Linked DNA regions of Arabidopsis thaliana. The protein of the gene in region 2 purifies or fractionates together with the protein of the main gene of each other region. This does not show direct contact. Each region holds a gene or a part of one and is shown on either strand. Other genes may lie near its edges. The genes, in order: FLN2, MURE, TRX z and SWI3B.

The links.
Region 1: the proteins of MURE (region 2) and FLN2 fractionate together in Arabidopsis thaliana (co-fractionation; one large-scale study listed by BioGRID). This does not show direct contact.
Region 3: the proteins of MURE (region 2) and TRX z fractionate together in Arabidopsis thaliana (co-fractionation; one large-scale study listed by BioGRID). This does not show direct contact.
Region 4: the proteins of MURE (region 2) and SWI3B fractionate together in Arabidopsis thaliana (co-fractionation; one large-scale study listed by BioGRID). This does not show direct contact.

The regions. Positions count from the first base shown.
Region 1 is NC_003070.9:26,014,110-26,018,907, forward strand, and holds FLN2 (fructokinase-like protein), read left to right. Parts: upstream 1-1,914; coding exon 1,915-1,955; intron 1,956-2,203; coding exon 2,204-2,538; intron 2,539-2,620; coding exon 2,621-3,273; intron 3,274-3,353; coding exon 3,354-3,825; intron 3,826-3,912; coding exon 3,913-4,256; downstream 4,257-4,798. Other genes in the region: AT1G69190 (Dihydropterin pyrophosphokinase / Dihydropteroate synthase), read right to left, coding at 1-472, 597-600; AT1G69210 (Uncharacterized protein family UPF0090), read right to left, coding at 4,474-4,773. UniProt on the Arabidopsis thaliana protein: Required for proper chloroplast development, most likely through regulating plastid-encoded polymerase (PEP) dependent chloroplast transcription.
Region 2 is NC_003070.9:23,612,571-23,618,425, forward strand, and holds MURE (ALBINO OR PALE-GREEN 13), read left to right. Parts: upstream 1-1,769; 5' UTR 1,770-1,890; coding exon 1,891-3,751; intron 3,752-3,863; coding exon 3,864-3,980; intron 3,981-4,068; coding exon 4,069-4,244; intron 4,245-4,381; coding exon 4,382-4,527; intron 4,528-4,658; coding exon 4,659-4,677; 3' UTR 4,678-4,846; exon of another isoform or gene 4,847-4,988; 3' UTR 4,989-5,342; downstream 5,343-5,855. UniProt on the Arabidopsis thaliana protein: Involved in chloroplast biogenesis. Required for thylakoid membrane development. Seems to be required for plastid-encoded plastid RNA polymerase (PEP)-dependent gene expression.
Region 3 is NC_003074.8:2,122,355-2,126,703, reverse strand, and holds TRX z (Thioredoxin z), read right to left. Parts: upstream 2,550-4,349; 5' UTR 2,429-2,549; coding exon 2,198-2,428; intron 1,883-2,197; coding exon 1,760-1,882; intron 1,153-1,759; coding exon 1,072-1,152; intron 976-1,071; coding exon 859-975; 3' UTR 548-858; downstream 1-547. Other genes in the region: GATA15 (GATA transcription factor 15), read right to left, coding at 26-46; IMPA-1 (importin alpha), read right to left, coding at 3,149-3,530, 3,635-3,762, 3,864-3,992. UniProt on the Arabidopsis thaliana protein: Thiol-disulfide oxidoreductase that plays a role in proper chloroplast development, most likely through regulating plastid-encoded polymerase (PEP) dependent chloroplast transcription.
Region 4 is NC_003071.7:14,227,014-14,231,960, reverse strand, and holds SWI3B (switch subunit 3), read right to left. Parts: upstream 2,990-4,947; 5' UTR 2,939-2,989; coding exon 2,776-2,938; intron 2,682-2,775; coding exon 2,272-2,681; intron 2,186-2,271; coding exon 1,775-2,185; intron 1,421-1,774; coding exon 1,294-1,420; intron 1,206-1,293; coding exon 1,075-1,205; intron 980-1,074; coding exon 812-979; 3' UTR 553-811; downstream 1-552. Other genes in the region: CRL2 (NAD(P)-binding Rossmann-fold superfamily protein), read right to left, coding at 3,463-3,595, 3,771-3,960, 4,056-4,221, 4,296-4,481, 4,555-4,724. UniProt on the Arabidopsis thaliana protein: Component of a multiprotein complex equivalent of the SWI/SNF complex, an ATP-dependent chromatin-remodeling complex, which is required for the positive and negative regulation of gene expression of a large number of genes.

The DNA.
Region 1 (4,798 bases), 2.4 Mb from region 2:
AGTGAATGCCAATATGCAACTATTTTATCATTATCAATATCTTCCGTTCCAAGCAAATCTACCAAAGGTGCTAAAACAAATGGTCTTTCCCAGATTCTCTCATGGGGAATGATAAGTTTATCAGAAATTATCTTGTGCTTTCCATAGAACAATATGTCCAAGTCAAGTGGTCTTGGTCCATACCTTAAACCATTTTCTTCACGACCCATCTCTTTCTCAATTTTCTTGAGAACGTTCAAGAGTTCATGAGGTTTGAGCTTTGTGACACCTCTTATTGCAGCGTTGAGAAATCTTGGTTGGTCGGTCACATGAACAGGTTCTGTTTCGTACAAACAACTGTGTCTGGTTACACTGATCCCATAGTCTTTCATCAATCGTAAAGCTTCTTTGAAATTATTCATTCTGTTTCCAACATTGCTTCCCAAAGCTATCACGACTTCTTCGAAAGTTGTTGTTTCCAAAGATGTGAAATCTGAGTCATATACAAAACATGTTTCGAAGGTGAAATATGATTCAATACTTAACAGAAATTAGTGTATCAAAACGTAAACGCTGTTTTTTTCAACGAAAATGAAACGGATGAAAAAGATACGAACCCATTTTAGAATAGGTTCCTCCAAAATATCAGTATTGTCTGCTTCGATCTGACCTTAAAGTATACAAAACTATGAGTTTAGTCTTAGATAACAACGAAACAATTATTAGAAACACAAAAAATGGGTTCTAATATTTTAAGAACCAAGGAAGTAAACAATACTTATGTATGAGAGAGGCAAGGTGGTAGCCAATTTTCACCTACTTTTTTTCTGAACTTGTTGTGTTATCCAAGTACCTTCTGTCTTTCACGCTCGTCAAAAGTCAGCTTCTCTTTTGAATTAGATATGAAGATCTAGAAAAGAAAAGAAAAAAGAGAAGAAAACTTTGTTTTTAGAGAGATTTTGAAATTGGTAATGAATCTCTCATAATTTTGAAATTGGTAGTGAATCTCTCATAATTCTTTTCATTATCTATTCTATCTTTTACCATTTAAACATATATTTGGATAGATGATGGAAAATTGTGTGTTAGTCTCCAGCTATTTCATTCCATTTTTAAAAAATATCAAAATTTTCATAGATTTGTTCTGACTACATCAATTTTCTTTCATTCCACTCAAGGCACTCATGGTTACATTACCAATAGAAATTAATTAACCATACAAAATTCTAATTATTATAACTCCAGACGATATTATTTTCACTATATAGCAAAAAATAGCCGTTTTACCATAACATATATACAGTCTATATTTTTTGACGAAAAATAAATAAATATACAGTATATATATATATATATATCCTCGTGTTAGAATTGTATTAAGTTTTTCATCACACCATCTTTAGGCATTATTTCTATGCCAATCAAATCATTTACTCGTAAATCATCATAGTAATTATGATTTCAGTTAATCGTAAGTTTTTTGTAGCTTTGTGATGATGAGCCAATTAACTTCACAACAAAATATTTTCCTTGAAGTAGTTTTTTAATAGCAAACGATTTCACGAAAAACTTTACATAACAAATATTTCTACCTACATTAAAAGAATGTCATATAGACAATACTAAATTCACTAGCTTTAAAGAAGAAAAATGAGCCGTAAATAAATTATAGTAGACAGAATAGGGACATCTTGACGTTTTAGTATTTTGATCATAGAATGCTTGCCGTTTCGTTAAAGCGCTAAACCTCCTCCTCATCCTCTCCCAGCTAGCTCCTCTTGCGGTTTCAGAGCTTAAACCCCAATCTCCCTCAAAACTCATAAACATATTGCTCTCCTTTGTTCATTTCTGGGTTTACGCTTCTTTCGACTTTATGGGTTTCGGAGCTTAGTTTTACTACAATTTCGTTTGGAAAAGAGCTCTTATTTGATGTTCATGGCGTCTCTCTCCTTCACCCAATTCTTATCATTCCCCAGGTCCCTTTGCTTCTCTCTCTCTCTTGTTTTCTAACCTTAGGAAATTTTAGTATATGGGTTTCTATGGATTTGGCGTAGAACCAGTTTACTGCCCAAAAATGTGCGAACTTTAAGTTTAGCTCATCTTATCTTTCTACAGAAGAATGGAGTAACAATGATTTGAATTGAGGGCTATATTTGTCTTTCTGTTTGAAAATTTCACATTTTGATGTAATGGTTTTCTCATAGCTGTGCTTTGATTTTGGCAGATGCAATGCAGATGTTCCTTGTCTGCTCCAGTCGCATGGTTTTGTGAAGTTTAGAGGTGAAAGATGGAATGGGAAACAAAGCTTTTCTATGGCTGCTGGTAGGAGAAAGTTATCAGAGTCAGCACCTCTTGAAGAAGAAGGTAATGATGGAAACGGTGCGGTTGTGGGAAAGAAACCATCTAAAAGTGTTAAGAGAACAACGAAGAAGAAGGTTGTGGTTAAGGATGAACCATTAGAAGAAATTTCTGAATTTTTGGTTGATAATGATGATGTTTTAGACAAGGAAAGCATTGTCTCAGCTTTGAAACCAAAAAAGACAAGAACTAGAAAGAAAGGTAATGACTTTTACCATTTCTGAGCTGATGGTTCTCACTTGATGATTCACGAGTACTTAATTTGAATTCGACATATATACAGCTGCAGCAGCTTCTTCTGATGTGGAGGAAGTAAAAACCGAGAAGAAAGTGAGACGAAAGAGGACTGTTAAGAAAGATAAAGATGTGGAGGATGATTTAGCTACTATTATGGATGCTGAGGTTAGTGATGTCGAGGAAGCATTGGCTGTTGAAAGCACTGATACAGAGAGTGAAGAAGAAGAGATTGATCTGAGTAAACATGAAGGTGAAGATATTAGTCACACTTATGGATGGCCTCCTCTCGTGTGTTGCTTTGGATCTGCACAACATGCTTTTGTGCCTTCGGGAAGGCCAGCAAACAGGCTATTAGATTATGAACTACACGAACGGATGAGAGATGCAAAGTGGGCTCCAGAGAAGTATATCCGGGCTCCTGGAGGATGTGCAGGAGGTGTTGCTATTGCTCTTGCAAGCTTGGGTGGTAAGGTTGCTTTTATGGGCAAACTTGGGGCTGATGACTATGGTCAAGCCATGTTGTATTATCTGAATGTGTGCAAAGTCCAAACTAGATCAGTTAAGATTGATGGTAAAAGGGTTACGGCGTGTTCTACTATGAAGATCAGCAAGAGAGGTCGCTTGAAATCGACTTGTATTAAGCCATGTGCAGAGGATTCACTTTCAAAATCTGAAATCAACGTTGATGTGCTCAAAGAGGTAATATATTGTCCTGGAGATTTGGAACATTGAGTTTTTGGCTCTTTTTCTTGTTCACCAATCTCTTAACTTTGGTGCAGGCGAAAATGTTCTACTTCAGCACGCATTCTCTACTCGATAAGAAGATGATGTCAACTACGATACAAGCCATCAAGATATCAAAGCAACTAGGCAATGTCATTTTTTATGACTTGAATCTCCCTTTACCACTATGGCACTCCAGCGAAGAAACCAAGTCTTTCATACAGGAAGTGTGGAATCTTGCAGACGTCATTGAAATCACAAAACAGGAACTTGAATTCTTATGCGGAATCGAGCCTACTGAAGAGTTCGATACAGAAAACAATGACATCAGTAAGTTTGTCCATTACCCGCCAGAAACTGTGGAACAGCTTTGGCATGAAAATCTCAAGGTCTTGTTTGTGACCAATGGCACTTCTAAGATCCATTACTATACCAAAGAGCACAATGGTGCTGTTTCCGGAATGGAGGATGTTCCCATTACTCCTTTTACAAGGGATATGTCAGCATCTGGAGATGGCATCGTTGCAGGTACATTTTCACTTGTGTCATTTGTTTTTCATAGCAATTTGGAAGTTATGCTTGCGATTAACTGAACCACACTACTCTCTATTTCAGGTCTAATAAGAATGCTTACGGTTCAGCCAGATCTTATGAACAATAAAGGGTACCTGGAACGCACAGCGAGATATGCAATTGAGTGTGGTATTATTGATCAATGGTTGCTGGCACAAACCCGAGGATATCCTCCAAAGGATGACATGGAAGAAGAAGAAGATGATGAAGAAGAAGATGAAGTGGAATCAGATCCAAACGGTATAAGATCGATAACAGAGAAGGAATACAGAACCTCAAAGCCTTATGATGAACCAGATGGTCCATACGTTATGAAACCAGTAGAGGAAAGGGAGTACAAGAAGTTAGAGCTTGTTGGCTCAATGTTTGAAGATGGTAGTTTATGATTTTCATAAGATTTGATAATGTTTCTGTTAGTCAGCTTTTTTTTCCTGTTCACATCTTACAACATCTTAGTAGTGTGAATTTTTGTCATATGTTTTGATATCTCACTCACCATCTCAACTAATACAAAATCACTTGAAATTATCCGGAAACAGCAATGTGAAACTGCAGTGACGATGAACTTACTTTAATAGCAACTCTACTTCTACGTCTACTTAACTAATCCAAGTAGAGATTTATCTTCTTGTGATCTGCGAAAGGCAGTGTGATTCTCAAGTCCTTTTGTTTCCGGCTTAACGGTCTGCCTTTGCTTTCGGGATCTCTGTTCTCCCTTACATCTGCTAATTTCCAGACACAGTTATCTGATTCTGCATCTATAGACTCCAAGAGGAACACTCCACTCTTTACTGCTTTCCTCGAGTTTGTTTCTTCTACATAGCTTACTGTCATTGGCATATCCTTGAATCGGGGCAAGTCCTCTGGGACTCTCAGTAGCCTCTCCGCTCCTGGAGATGACACCTACACAGAAAAAAAAAAAACGGAA
Region 2 (5,855 bases):
AAGTGGTTCACTAAGGTTCTATTTACATTTCCAAAGATAGTATATGTGATTGTCCAAAAATTGTCAAGGGACACTGATAAGCGTCCAAAAGATCCAAAATAAGAGTAAAAAAAAAGAGCTTATAAGATGATATATTTCATAGTGAGAACGATAAAGCGTAGTTGTATTTGTTAAAATATCCAGTGTGAAGTGTTACATTATAAATGATGAATGTCTATCAAGTTTTCCATACATTTTTTTTCATAAGATCAAGAGAAAATAAAGAGAATTATATCTTCTTCTTTTTTAAAGAAAACACAATTAAGAGATAAATAATTAAATCATGTACATTATAGCATGTGTAGGTCACGTGTTATGAAAATGGGCTGAAGAAAGTGTAGAAGTGAGGCCCAAGACGAAGGGACCACAAAGGGTGTATTAAACCAACTCAACTGTACATGGCGGTGGTCGGTCCACGTTCCAAATTAAAGTGGCCATGTGGTTTTATCGTCTTCTATCAACGACCAAAATACGGCTCTCCAAATAAGAGAAAAACAAATACAAAACTACGTTATACTACTAACTGACTTTAGTGCAAAAAAACTTAATATAACTTAGGCTCTTAATGATCATGTACATGGCGGGACAGATTTGTATGCATAGCAGATAATATAATATCAAAAATCATGAAATTTTGGATGCAATTCCATCTCTTTTACACCCATTTCTCTACTAGGGCGTTAGAAAGTCTAACATTAGAAGTTGGACTTTAGTTACTCAATGCCAATTAGAATCTAAACTTCGGCCAACTATAGATAAAACCATTAGCTTTTTACAAAATCAAGAAATAAAATCAACCTCTTATGTCAGAAAACCAAGAGCCATCAATCTTTTTCTTCTATAAACAATTCAAATAAAACGTTTGTTTGGTTCTCTGCAACAACATAGCAAATTAGCAATCATTAAGCAATTTTGTCTACTCATCAAACAAAAATATTTCTCTGTAACGAAAAAAAGATAGTGGGCTAATATTATGGGCCATGAGACTGCCTTAGAAGCCCATCCTTTCACTACACACTTTGTAATATACATTAGAAACCCTATAAATTAATACTCGATAAATTAATAAACACGATAAATTAATAAATTTTGCCGGTCGAAGTCGGGCCAATGTAAAAATTAACGAAAATCGATAAGATAATAAAATAATAATTTTTTGAAACCCCTATGTAAAAATATAGTCCCAATAATATCATAAATTAATAATCATAAATCTTAAGCATACATTCTAAGACTAATTTTATATGAAACTTTTATTCAAGCTACAATTGCAACTCTTTTTAGAATAGAGTTGGTATGATCTCTTTTATACTCACATAATTCTTTGCGTATTTGATCCGTCATATTTGGTTTTGTAACATTTTTTCTATGAAAAACCATTGCTAAGATTTTTGTAAAGAAAAATTGATTTAACCTCCACGTTAACGTCGTAGATATAGAGACACTATATCTTGCAGAAAAATAAATTTAAAATATCAAAAATAAAATTAAAGATCTAACATAATTGAATATACAAATAACAAAATATGAGAAAAATACTAAATCGGAAAAGCATTTTTAAAATAATTTAGTATTGTGTTTTACGTTAATATTCTATTAATTACTATTTATTAATTTATAAAATAAATTAATATTATTATAAATTAATAAAAATTTATAGTCCAATCATTATTAATTTATAGAGTTTCTCCTGTACATATCTTTTAATCGTTTTTAGTACACACTGCACCGTTTTATCGGCGTCTTTGATTTCTTTAAACGCATCGTTTGTAACCCAAAAATGAAAAAACCCAACTCTTATCCCCTGGAAAAAACCTTTCACTGCTTGCTTTCTCAGTCTCTCTGTCTCCAATGGCGTTCACCTTTCTCTCTCCTCACCCAGTCTTTCTCTCTCTAACTGGAACAACCTCTTCCTTCTCCTACAAACCAGTTCTCTTACCATTCTCTCGAAATTCCCGTACTCTCACGGTTGCGGCGGGACCTGCTCGCCGGAATTCGTACCCGAACCCTGCTGATGACGATCCACCTGAAGCACCGGAGGATTCAATGCACGGAGTTTCGAAGTTTCAGCAGATCCAGCGTCAAGCTGCTCGTGCACGGAAGCTAGAGGAAGAAGATTTCGAGAAGAATCGGAACACTTATCTCTCCGCTATCGCCGATGTGGAAGACGCGGCGGAGACGGGACGAGATGACGAAGAATCTGGTGGAGACTTGTTCTCTGATATCGATAGAGCAATCTCCATGAAACGTAGTGAGTTTGTTAAGCAAGGATTGCTCAAACCTAATCCTCCCAAAACGGCATCGCTTAAGAAGATTGGGGAGGAGGGAAATGAGGAAGAAGGTGATGTTACTGACGATGTTGATGAGCTTGATGAAGAAGAAGTTGTTGATTTGGATGAAATTGATAAATTAACTGGATTAACAGAGATTTCTGATGAAGAAGATTGGGTTGATGAGGAAGGTAACACTAGGATCAACAAGAAGAAGGAGTTTGGGTCTGATCATCAATTTGAATTCGATTTGGATGATTTTGGTGAATCTAAAGCGAGAATCGTGGAACCTAAGTTCAAAATGTGCTTAGCTGAGCTTTTAGATGAGAGTAAAGTGGTACCAATCTCAGTTTACGGCGATTTAGATGTCGAAATCACCGGGATTCAACATGATTCGCGCGGTGTGAGCGCCGGAGATCTCTTCGTGTGTTGTTTAGGAAGTGAAAATTTCTTGAGTGAAGCAGATAAGAGAGGAGCAGTGGCGGTTGTAGCTAGCAAAGAGATTGATATTGAAGATACTTTAGGTTGCAGAGCACTTGTCATTGTTGAAGATACGAATGCAGTTTTAGCAGCTTTAGCTTCTTCCTTTTATAGGCATCCCTCGAAGAACATGTCGGTGATTGGAGTTACTGGTACGGATGGGAAAACGACTACTACGTATTTGATTAAGAGCCTCTATGAAGCGATGGGTGTGAGAACAGGAATGTTTAGCACAGTTTCTTGTTATATTCATGGCGATAACAAATTGGATACGCCTAATGCTACGATGAATCCTGATGCTGTTTTGGTTCAGAGTTTGATGGCTAAGATGTTGCATAATGGAACTGAATCTTTGGTTATGGAAGCTTCTCCTCAAGAACTTGCTTTAGGGAAATGTGATGAAGTGGATTTCGACATTGCGGTTTTCACAAATTTGACTAGAGAAAATACGGATTTTCGTGGTACTGATGAAGAGTATAGAGATGCTGAAGCCAAGTTGTTTTCAAGAATGGTTGATCCGGAAAGGCATAGGAAAGTGGTTAACATAGATGATCCAAACGCAGCATTCTTTGTCCAGCAAGGGAATCCTAATGTTCCTGTTGTGACATTTGCCATGGAAAACACCAAAGCCGATGTTCACCCGTTAAAGTTTGAGCTTTCCTTGTTTGAGACACAGGTTTTGGTTAATACCCCTCAAGGTATACTGGAGATCTCTTCGGGTTTGTTAGGACGGCATAACATTTATAATATTCTTGCTGCTGTGGCTGTTGGGATTGCTGTTGGAGCTCCTCTTGAGGATATTGTTAGAGGTGTTGAGGAAGTCGATGCAGTCCCAGGAAGGTGTGAGTTGATTGATGAGGAACAAGCTTTTGGTGTTATTGTGGATCATGCAAACACACCTGATGGCTTGTCAAGGCTGCTAGATTCAATTCGAGAGCTTAAACCGAGAAGAATCATTACCGGTATAGATATTTTCTTCCATCTAATAGATACTCTTTGCCTGTTCGGCCGTTCCTATGGTCTTTATATGTGTGGTCATCTGATTATTTTAGTTGTTTTATTTATTTATTGAAGTTATTGGTTGTGAGGGTGAGAATGAAAGAGGGAAAAGACCGCTTATGACGAAAATTGCTACTGAAAAGAGCGATGTGACGATGTTGACATCTGATAATCCGAGGAATGAAGATCCATGTAAGTAACTCTAAGAATTAGATTGAGTCTATCTCCCTTGAGTGTTTCTGGAGGTATATTAACAGTTAATTTTCCAATGTGGTTTTAGTGGACATCTTGGATGACATGTTGTCTGGGATTGGATGGACGATGCAAGAGTATTTGAAACATGGCGAACACGATTACTATCCGCCTTTGGCAAATGGTCATAGACTCTTCCTTCACGATATTAGACGTGTAGCTGTACGTTGTGCTGTTGCTATGGGTGAAGAAGGTGATATGGTTGTAAGTATTCAAATAAACCCACACTCTATACAGTACTTTACTGAGTGTGTTATCAAAGTTGCTGGATTTACCTTTATGAGCAATCAAAGTAATATAGTTCTCGGGTAAATAGCTTTGCTTGACACTGATTTTTGCAGGTTGTAGCTGGGAAAGGGCATGAAGCGTATCAGCTTGAAGGTGAAAAGAAAGAGTTTTATGATGACAGAGAGGAATGTCGGGAAGCATTACAATACGTTGATGAGCTTCACCAAGCTGGAATAGACACAAGCGAGTTCCCATGGCGGTAAGTAGAACCGTAACAGCTAAAACAACCAACGATAACCAAAGTTTCTAATCTGTGAAGAGTTGCTGAAACTTGTCAAGATGCTTCACGATCACTAATCTGTTCTTCCTTGTATTACTGTGCTTCTGCAGGTTACCAGAGAGTCATTAATATCTCTGTGGTGAAATCATTAGAAGAGAAGTTAGCTTAGTCCATGAAACCAGATTTTCTTCCACCATGGTCCAATTCTCTTGCGAAGATCGATTTGCACAGAGGTAATGAATTCTACACAAGTGACATAAAAATCATGCCCAAGGAAAAGAGATTACACCACTGGGAGGTACTTAACGTTCCAATCACCATTACCTTAAAGTTATTCCATTGCTCACTTCACCTGTTTTTTTGGACAAGAGGAAACCTAAGCTATCGAAATGTAATATTAGACTAAACTTAATTCAGATTTTCTGTCATTGTTACCGCAGGAGGAAGATTTTAAAGGTGGAAGAAGATGCGTACAAATTTTGTAAGGGTTAAAAACCCAAAAATGTAAGTGGTTCTGTTTTGGGTATGTTTTGATAGCATGTGTTTAATTTAGATGAACCAATTCAAACCGAACCAACAAAAATAGATTCCGGTTTAAATTATTTATTTTCTTACATGTATCCAAACTTGAAAAAAGTGAATTCAAAGAAAAAAGAAAACGATGAAAATACGGTTTCAATTTCTTAATATGAAAAATTGAGAAAGTAGGAAGACATGATTGAACAATAATAAGATTAGGCCTTGTGATATATTGTGACAAGAACATAAATTACGAATGTTTGGCAATGGTGCTAGGGAATATAGTCTTTTGAAACTATTAAGCATACTTTGAATTTTATATTCTGGTTATAAATTAAAAGATTTCCCAATATCCATTCGTATTTTTGGGACCACTCCACCAAAACCAATCTAATCAAAATATAAAACCAAATAAATAATAATTTGCTTAGAGATAGAAAACATGTTATGTCCGAGGAAATTGTCCTAAATGTCGCAACAAACGTCAATTCATTAATCGTTTTGTTTAATACAAATTTCGACAAGATTGTGATAGATCCAGAACCAGTTTAGCTAAACCGGTTGAATCAGAAGAAACGCCAAAACCCGGTCCAATAGCTCGACCTAACGCCGTCGTTTTCAAAGTTCCTTCACTCTACTTCCTTCTCGCTTACGTCACTTTCCACAGATCCAACAATGATATCAGATAAAATTAAAATATTCCCAATATATTTTCTAAGAATATCTCCCTATTTATTTTTATTTATTTAAACTATTTTAATCTCTTCCGTGTTTCACTCTTCTCTCTC
Region 3 (4,349 bases), on a different chromosome or scaffold from region 2:
GAGAAGAGGGAATCAGATCACTCACTTTCTCGGTGGGATCTAGCATTACCAGCTTCAGGAACCGCAGATCGTGATTCGTGAACTAGTGTCAAGTCAAGAAGATATGGATCTAGGGTTTCCGATAGAGATCAGAGTAGGCAAGAAACATATAAGACTTGATGAGAATTCAAAGACGAGTGGATCAGGGGAACAAAAATTTGAATCTTGAAAGTAGAAACAGAGAGAGAGAGTGTCAGAGAAACAGAGATTTTTTTTTTTTGATTTCAAAGAAACGACCCAACAGATACCTCACAAAAACTAAACCAAATGGCCAATTATAAATGAAATTGGTTCGGCTAAACCCTAGCTTTAATTTATTGCTTTAAAAGACGAAATTACCCCTGTTTACGTCCTCTAATATCAGGCTAGAGCCACCCGCCAAATATCGCACATAACCCTGTAGGAAAATTTTCGCATAATTTGGGCGCCATTTCGAATGGCGTCGTGTTTTTCCTAATAATGGTGTTTAATAATACTTTCGTCCCGGTTTAATGTCAACCAAGAAATGGGGAAAAAGTCTTTAATGACGTCATATCTCTCTCTTCCAAGTTTAAGCTACAGTGTTATTACATGGACCGGATCGTGAATTTGATGTGCCACATAACTTGGATCCGACCAGATCAACAGCTCTAACCTTTTCACTTAGGTATTGAAACGAACACTGCATACAAACAAATGTCTTAAGACTACATTCTTCATCTATGAAACTAGAAGACATTCTTACCACATCTCAAATGCAAACAACACGGTACCAATCCTAAATTACGGCGATTCTAATCAAATCATAAAGAGTACAAAAGTGTTTTCTCAGTAAAAACTTCACATCTCGTTGTCAATGATATCGTGCATCATCTGTAACGGAATTAGCCCTTCTGTCCTGATTGCATCTTTGCTTGGGTCAGGACTGATGAAGAATAATGTAGGTAACCCTCGAACCTGTATCACAAGAGTTGGTTAATGTAAGAATTTACATTGATATGCTGAGAGGAGATTCATGAAATTTAAAAACATAAGCTGCAAGTTACAGTATACCTGCATGTCGCGTGCAAACTCGTACTCATCATCTGTATCAACTTTCACGATTATTGCATTGCTCTCATACTCTACTGCAAGCTGTTTCACAATGAGCAAAAACTATTTAACACGAGTGTCATGAGTGAAAAAGCAAGTAGATAAAGCCAATCAATAAGAAGATGCTTAGATTCTCCTATCTCACACATTTCTTTTGAATTTGTAGACATGCCAACTACGCGACAAGGTATCTTTGTCATAAAGTATGGGAGAAACAGTCGTAAGATTGGAACTGTTTAACTCCTTTATCTAATTCACCAAAAGAACTAAACCATAGAAGAGACTTGATTAATGAGAGCGGTCTTTCAACTCTAGTCAATTGCCAAACCAAGACCCAAGACAAATCCAGAGTGCCCCCAATACATTTTCATAGCCCCTCTTTAAACATTAAGATCTCAGTAAACTGTAAAGATTTGTTGATGAGCTACCAAAGCTATAATGCACTGCCCAACTCCTATGCAAGTTACAATAGTACTGCACTAGACTTAACAGTAATATACCATCACATTTCAAGATTCAAGTATATTATAACGAACAACCGGGTTCCAAGAGCCAACGTTTGGAAATATATAAGCATTCTAGAGTCTACACATGAAGCAAGTGAAATGGAGAATGTGTAAGAAAGTTGAGTTATGAGAATCCATGGTACCATTTCTAGTTCCTGGGCCATCAAGATACAAGGTCCACACCATGTCGCATAAAAATCAACAATCAACGGCACCTTCCTATCTCCTTTCACCAGTTCCTGAAGTTCTTGAGCTGACAATTTCTTCTGTCAAACCATAAGAAAAGGAACAAAAAACATCCAGAAATCAGTGAGGCTTCCACATGATGGTATCAACAAGAGTCATTCATAAGATTCAAATTAAGCAAATCTCTATTCTGAAGTATTTAACAGTGTACTGGTCGAATCTTTGATAGAACTACCATATATCGTTCTTATATAATAACTACATCTATGCCCAGCCAACTTAATTTCCCAGAAAGGCGAAAAAGGAAGTCGTAAAACGAAAACAAACATGAAATTTTTTGAAATCGACAAAATATGTTGTTTGGAGCGTGAGAGAAAGCGAGAAATTGTCCGTACCACAAGATAATCTTCTCTGACAAACTTGCCGCGAGGCGGAGGACAGAGAAGCTTTCGCGGACGCGTCAACGGCGAGAAGGGCAAGTTTCCGGCGGTGGAGGAGGAGAACGGCGCGGCTACCGGTCGGATTTCCCTCCGGATAAAGAGAGAAGACGGAGCATGGAGGGAGGATAGAATCGGCGATAACGGAGTGTTGAGGTGTGGAAAAGTTCTGGATTGAACAAGAGCCATTTTGGAAATCGATTTCTGCTTCAAAATGATTTCAGTTTTAGCTTTTGAGGGGTTTTAGACGATAAGGCAATTGAACTGGACATATACTAATAGTTCATTAGTTCTTGTCTTTTTACAATTTACTTGCTCAGGTAAAGTCAAATTCATAATAATTTATTGCTGTTTTATGTATACTTTACTTCATAATTCAAATAAAGATTCGAGTCTTTATAACTCGAAGATAAACCCTTCCTTAGGTTTGACCAAAAAAAAAAAAACCTTTCCTTAGGAAATCAGACACCAAACATATTAAGACCAATAAAGGGTTTATGGTTTCAATTTTTTAACCGACATACAAACTGTTGTCAACACAAAAACAAAAGACTCCACTGTAAGTTTTTATAACCCTCCAAAATTTAAAAACAACACAAAGGTCGACTCACGACCGGTGTACCAGTCATTTCAAAAAAATAGCCCTGGACAATGAACCAAACACTTTCTCAGACGCTGTACTTTTAAACCGACCACCCGGTACAAACCTCTGAGACCAGACCAGACCAGACCTGGAGTATAACCATGGCAGTGAAACTAGACTCTGACTGACTCTGACCTTTCACCATTCTCAAGTTGCAAGCTTCCAATTCCATTCCTGTGGGTTTATATTGATCTAAATATCAGATTTTGCATGTTTTCATCAAGAGACGTTGTTAGAAATTTAAGAATTTTTACTTTTATTTACCTTCAGCTGAAGTTGAATCCTCCGGATGGTACTGGAGCTTGATTCCCTCCAAACTGGAACCCAGCCTGAGAACCATCAACACCTGGAGGTTGCTGTGTCTCATCATCTTCCTCTTCAAGCCAGTATGTCTCCAGAATTTTAACAGCCTTCTCATAGATCTCATTGTTGTCATGGCTCTGAAGGTTCTCGATCTTTTCTAGCCCTTCTGCATCATCAATCAGCTGAGCGTAATAGTTCATGTCTCCTGTGTGACCCAAGTTCTTCTCTGCCTCTCCCACCTTCAAAATGTTTTCCAATCCTTCAAGGCAGACAGTTATGATTCTTGGATCTGGGCAAACCAGGAGATCGCATAATGGTTTTATGCACCCTTGCTCCACCAGGTATCTGTATAACCAACGGGAACAGAACATCAATATATATATACACAAAGTATATATATGAGAGAAGAAACTGGAAGTTAGAGGAACGCAAAAAAGACAGTGACATACTTTATTTGATCATGAGAACCACCTGAAGTTGCATTTGAAATTGCCCATGCAGCTTCCTTCTTAATGTCAAATTCAGCATTTTGAAGCAGACTCACCAACGGGGAAATCAAATTAGCCTCAACTACCGTCTGCAACCATCAGGGGAAAAACAACACAATTAATGAATAGGTATAGAAGTCTGGATGGGAAACGGTACAAAACATATGATGAAACAGTACTAATTGCCTACCTGGATCTGATCTTTGTTGCCTGCTGTGATGTTTGAAATCGTCCAGCAAGCTTCCTTCTTTATGCTTTTCTTATGGTTTTGAGTGAGCAGGTTGGCAAGACAAGGTAGAGCACCACTATTGATCACGCACTGGAGAAGAAGTAAAATCAGATTTCCAAGTAAAACGATGTAAACTATTTCAGATATAGAAAAATCACCTTTGCTAAACTCATGAAAAACCAAATTTCACCAAGCAAAAAATTTGTGCATGTTGTTGGTTTAAACTTTAAAACAAGAATTAATTGTAACAAAACTCAAACACAAGCAATATATAGCAAAAAAGGCACTGCATCCTATCTGCTAATATGGACAGAGTGGCAACAGAGGGAGAATCTCATGATAAGCATTCAATACTCCCATTTTTCACATAAAATGTTGGATATGAATAATAGCAACAGGGTGCCATACATTTGAACAACACCTCATCGCAATTACCAGTCTTGGATT
Region 4 (4,947 bases), on a different chromosome or scaffold from region 2:
AATTGATGTTCTACCACTTTTAACTTGTCCCACAAAAAAAACATTTTCGTTTTTTCTTTATTTTTTTTAAATATCACTCACTCCTTTCTAAATTAGTTATGTTTTAGAAATTAAATTTTGTATTAAATTAGTTATCGTTTTATATTTTCAATGCATGTTTTTGAAAGATTTTCCAAAAGAAATTCTTATTGTTTTGGCTGATTAATTGATGATATGATATTAAATAACACATTAATTAGAGATAAAACAGAAAATTCAATGTTTTTTTAGTTTGTCTGAAAAACCTGAACTAGTAAAGTTCAAGATAAAATGATTGAAATTTGTTAGACTGCTATTGGTTTATAGTTATTGAAAATGTTTAATATAACAAACAATACAGAAATGATTAATTAATGACTGTTTCTTAATATAAAAACCATCACTCTTTTAGCAACAAAGAGAGTAATCATGTTACGGAGATACAAAAAAAACATCGGTAACTTAACAACATTTGAAGATTAACCTATTTAGTGAAAACAAAATCTATCTTTTATATCGGATATCTCCAAAACCCTGACATTTTCTATTGTTTCCAAAAGAGCAAAATTAATTTTTAAAACTTTTCCACTTGTGATTGCCTGATAAAGACAAAAATTATACTTCGACGCAGTTGCCATTTGGTTTTGACTTTTATACCAACCCAGCCTTATTTATACCAATTCGATCTCATCTCATTTTGTTACCAACACATCTCAAGTACACTACAATACAAGTCATCTTCTTAACCAGACAAGAATCAAATAAGAAATAACAGTTTCAAATTAAGTGCGTTCTAACACTCTATTCTATCTTCAGTTTTCCGGGCTTTTCTGGTGTGGAAGAAAATGTTTAATTGATCAACGAAAAGCAGATTCCTCACCTCCTCCAATTGTTTCCGGCTTCTCTCCATTTCCAAATCCAATTTCTCGAAATGAACAATCCTATCTCGGATCTTCTTCATCTGTTAATCCCAAATTTTGTTTGTTCCAACATAAATCATCATTGAGTATAACCATATAATAAAAAGTCTATGGAAAGTTGCAGATTGTTACTAACCTCAACTTCAACAGTCTCTTTGATTGCTCCTTCTACCTCATGCTCTTCCTTCTCAATTAAAGACTTTGCATCTGCCCAAGCTCTTTCAGATTCGTTTCTAGTGGTTTCACCACTCGATGCAGCATTGGCATCTGTGTATCAGGAAAACAAAACTGTCACTATTGGGTTTGGCTTAGGACAGAAATGGACTGCAAATAGAGACAGCTTGGTCTTTGATACCTTGTCGATTTGGGTCTCTACTGGCGTTTTTGTCAGCCTCGTAGTCTACATCAGATAAAGCTCTCACTGCCGCTCGAGCTGCTGCTTCTGCAACATTTGTGCCAGCCAAAGCTGAAAGAAAAGCAGCCTGAAGAGGACATGATAGGATAAATCTTATTCAGAGACAGCCAATGAAGCATAACAATTGAGGTGTGATAACACAGTACAGAATTATCTAACACATATTTGATTCTTAAATGCCTTATATATGTCAACTAGGGTTTGTTATTACTAGATTTCAAAGTAAGCCCCACAAGGTATTCTAGATTTAGGTTCTTTAAGGAGACAAAAACGCAAGTCGTGGAACAGCCTAGTGCAGACACTGGACTATTCTTCAGTAGCCTAACAATGTAAAAGCATTTCCACGCATGTTGAAGACTTATACAAATAAGATTAACATAGAGAGAGAACGCAACTACTCAAATTGTAGTGTCTTTCTAACCTGAGCCATTATTGGGTTGCTTGCATCTGCAAGAGGTGTTAATTTGATCCGCTTGTTGGGAGAAGAACCGTCTTTATCTATTCCTTCAGATTCAGGAATATCAGAGTCCTTGATCTGATCAAACATCTCTAAACCATCCTCAGAGTCAGACTCTTTTACAAACTGTTCCCCAAACGGAAGCTTGACAAACTGAGAAACACAATCCTTCTCCGTTCTACCAATAACATGCGATGCAACCTTCTTCCAATCATCTCCATAGTGCATAACAGCTTCCAGCAGCAGCAGAATTTCCTTATCAGACCACTCTGGCTTTGACTCCTCACTAATCTCAACTCGTTTAAACTCCGAGGAGTTAATACCAACACGATAATTACTACGAACATAGCACCTCGCACACAATGTCAAGTCATACTGAAAACAAAAATGTACATAATCATTCTAAGTGACAAACTCAGTGAATGAAATTATTACTATGGCTACAAATTATGAAATCAAACCTTATCACAGGCGAAACAAGCTATGCTGCAAATTGCTTTGCAGCCATTGCAGTTTCTCTTGGCAGTTTCTTTGACAGTTGTGGCTGGCTCAGAAGCAGCATCTCCGGCGGATTTTCCGGCCTCTTTTTCTTCCCACTTGAGCGGCTTAGCAGAGGCGGAGCTATTATAGTTGATAAGTCCCCATGAATCGAGGAAATCAAAGACGCGACGAATAGAGACAACATCACTGACGAGAGTTCTCCGAACGTCAGTGAAACTAATCTTCCGAGGATGGTCGTCTCTGTACTGCTTAATAATCGAGTTCCTCAAGTAGAGATAAAACTTAGGGTTTTTGGATGAAGATCTCGAATCGAAAAATTCCGGCAGTGACCGGACCTCGCAATCGTTAATGTCGGTCCATGAAAACCAACCTAATTGGTTAAATAGACGGTACAAGTACAAAATCCGTAAGAAACAGTGAAGAAAGTAGAATAAATCAAAGTTTTCTCGGCGTTGCAGACTTACTGGAGTAGCTAGGTACGTGAATATTATCGATATCGGAAGAAGAAGACGGCAATTGAGCCGACTTAGAAGCTGCTGCGGCGCCTCCAGACGTAGTTTCGGAAAGAGAGGGAGTGCTCGGGAGAATTTCCCCAGATCCGCCGGGATCGGGAGCTTTCATGGCCATGACTCTCTGTTTAACTAACGCAACTTCGCCGGAGAAGGAAGAGGGAAAAGAGAATCTAGCTATCGAGATGGGCAAAGTTAAAAAAAAAGTCGGATATCTAAACGGGCCTGGTTTGGGCCCTAATACAGGTCCATTAACCTGGCTTTAGTTGTTAAATATTGCGAATGTTTTTTTAGTCCCATGGTCAGCCAAGATGTAGTGCATCTGCTACGCTAGGCTTAGAGGTTAATTCGAATGGTGAAGTTGTGCGTTACTGATTTCATGTATTAATGGTGAAGTTATCCTTTGTAAGTAGGTAGAAATTGGAACGTATCAAAGAGATATTGGAACATAGTTATGGAAGGAGTAATTGTAGATTGGTCATAAAAGTAATGGTGTCTAAGAAAGTAACAAAAACTCAGAAGTTCATGATGGAAAATATGTTGCACAACTCTTATTCTTGAGTAAAAGATGAAAGAGCGTGTGCAGATAGGAACACTTAACACATGGACCCAAAACACTCATATGCTATTCGTTCCCAGTTTTCAGTCCACAAGCTTAGCTTTGCGGTAGCTCTCAACAGAATCCACAAGTGTTTCCTCCAACGGCCGGTAAGTCCAACCCAACTTCTGCAACTTCTCTGAACTCACCTTCACTTTTCCATCCGCTTCGATGTATCTGATATTGGATAAGTAGAATTTAGATCAAAGGTAAGGTCTAAAAGAAACTTCAGAGACATTGATGTAAAGGTAAGTGACACTGTTTACTGATGAAAGTAACAAAAACAGCTTATTAAGGTTTAAAGGTTTTCACTCAAATTGGGTAGAGAGATGTGCAGCTGTTGTTTGCTTACCTCTTTGGGTAGTTGTAATTTAGATAAAGACTTTTCAGCTTCTCAGCGACTTCTTGTTCCCTAACCGTGTGGCCTATGCAGATGTACCTTCCTTCAGCTTCTGCTTTCTCATAAACCAAAAGTAAAGCTTGAGCCACATCACGCACATCTACCAAATGCCGTTCTTGGTTATTACGCGATTCATAACCCTCTGCACCACACTTAAGTATAAAATCAATACCAACTCATATACCAAGTTGCTGCTTCTAACAATCCCAGATGAAATGAGAGGCTTGTTTATAATACCTTTAAGAAGCTTGAGAAGAACAAGGCTACTAGCATTTACTGTGTGCTGCTGCAATACAGGTCCCAAGACAAGGGTAGGGCAAACACTGACGAGATCAAGTCCGGTTCGTTTTGCAAATTCGAAAGCTTCACTTTCTGCTCGTGTCTTTGACAAAGAATACCAATTCTGCCAGAGGGACGAAAGTCAGATTTAAAAGAAGAAAAAAAAGTGAGATGAGGGATTCAAGATGCATTATTAACCTCAGTTTTTTTGCAATAATCTTGGTCAGACCAAGCGGTCTCATCTAACACTTGACTCTTTGACCACATAGGGTTCATAGCAACTGCAGATACAGAGGAAACATACACAACACGCTTAACTTTTGCTTCAACGCATGCCTTAAGCACATTCAGCGTACCATCCACTGCAGGTGCGATCAAATCTACCTGCAAAACCAGTGAAACCATAGTGAGACAATGCATATAGCCACCAATGAGATTGTAAAAATGAAATCCTCACCTCAGGATTAGGGACTGAAGCAGATGGAACAGGGCAAGCGACATGGAAGACGCCGCTGCAGCCAGCAATAGCAGATTGAAGAGAGCCGTAGTTGAGCAAATCAGCCTTGAAGAGCTTGAGTTTGTCACCAGCTTTATCAAGCTTCTTCAAATGAGCATACTTTTCATTACCTATAACAAGAACCATGCGAAACTCTTCATCAGAACAATAGACAAACTCAAAAGGCTTAATCTTCTGTCTGTAGACAGAAACATCGGAGCTACAAAAAGAATTGGGAATAGAAAACCTTAGAAAGTAGACGAAAGAATCAATTTTGACCAGGCTGAGCTACAAAAATTCGATGAACTAGAAATGCGAGAGAATAAAGGTTGACAATTTACAGAGGGAGAGATA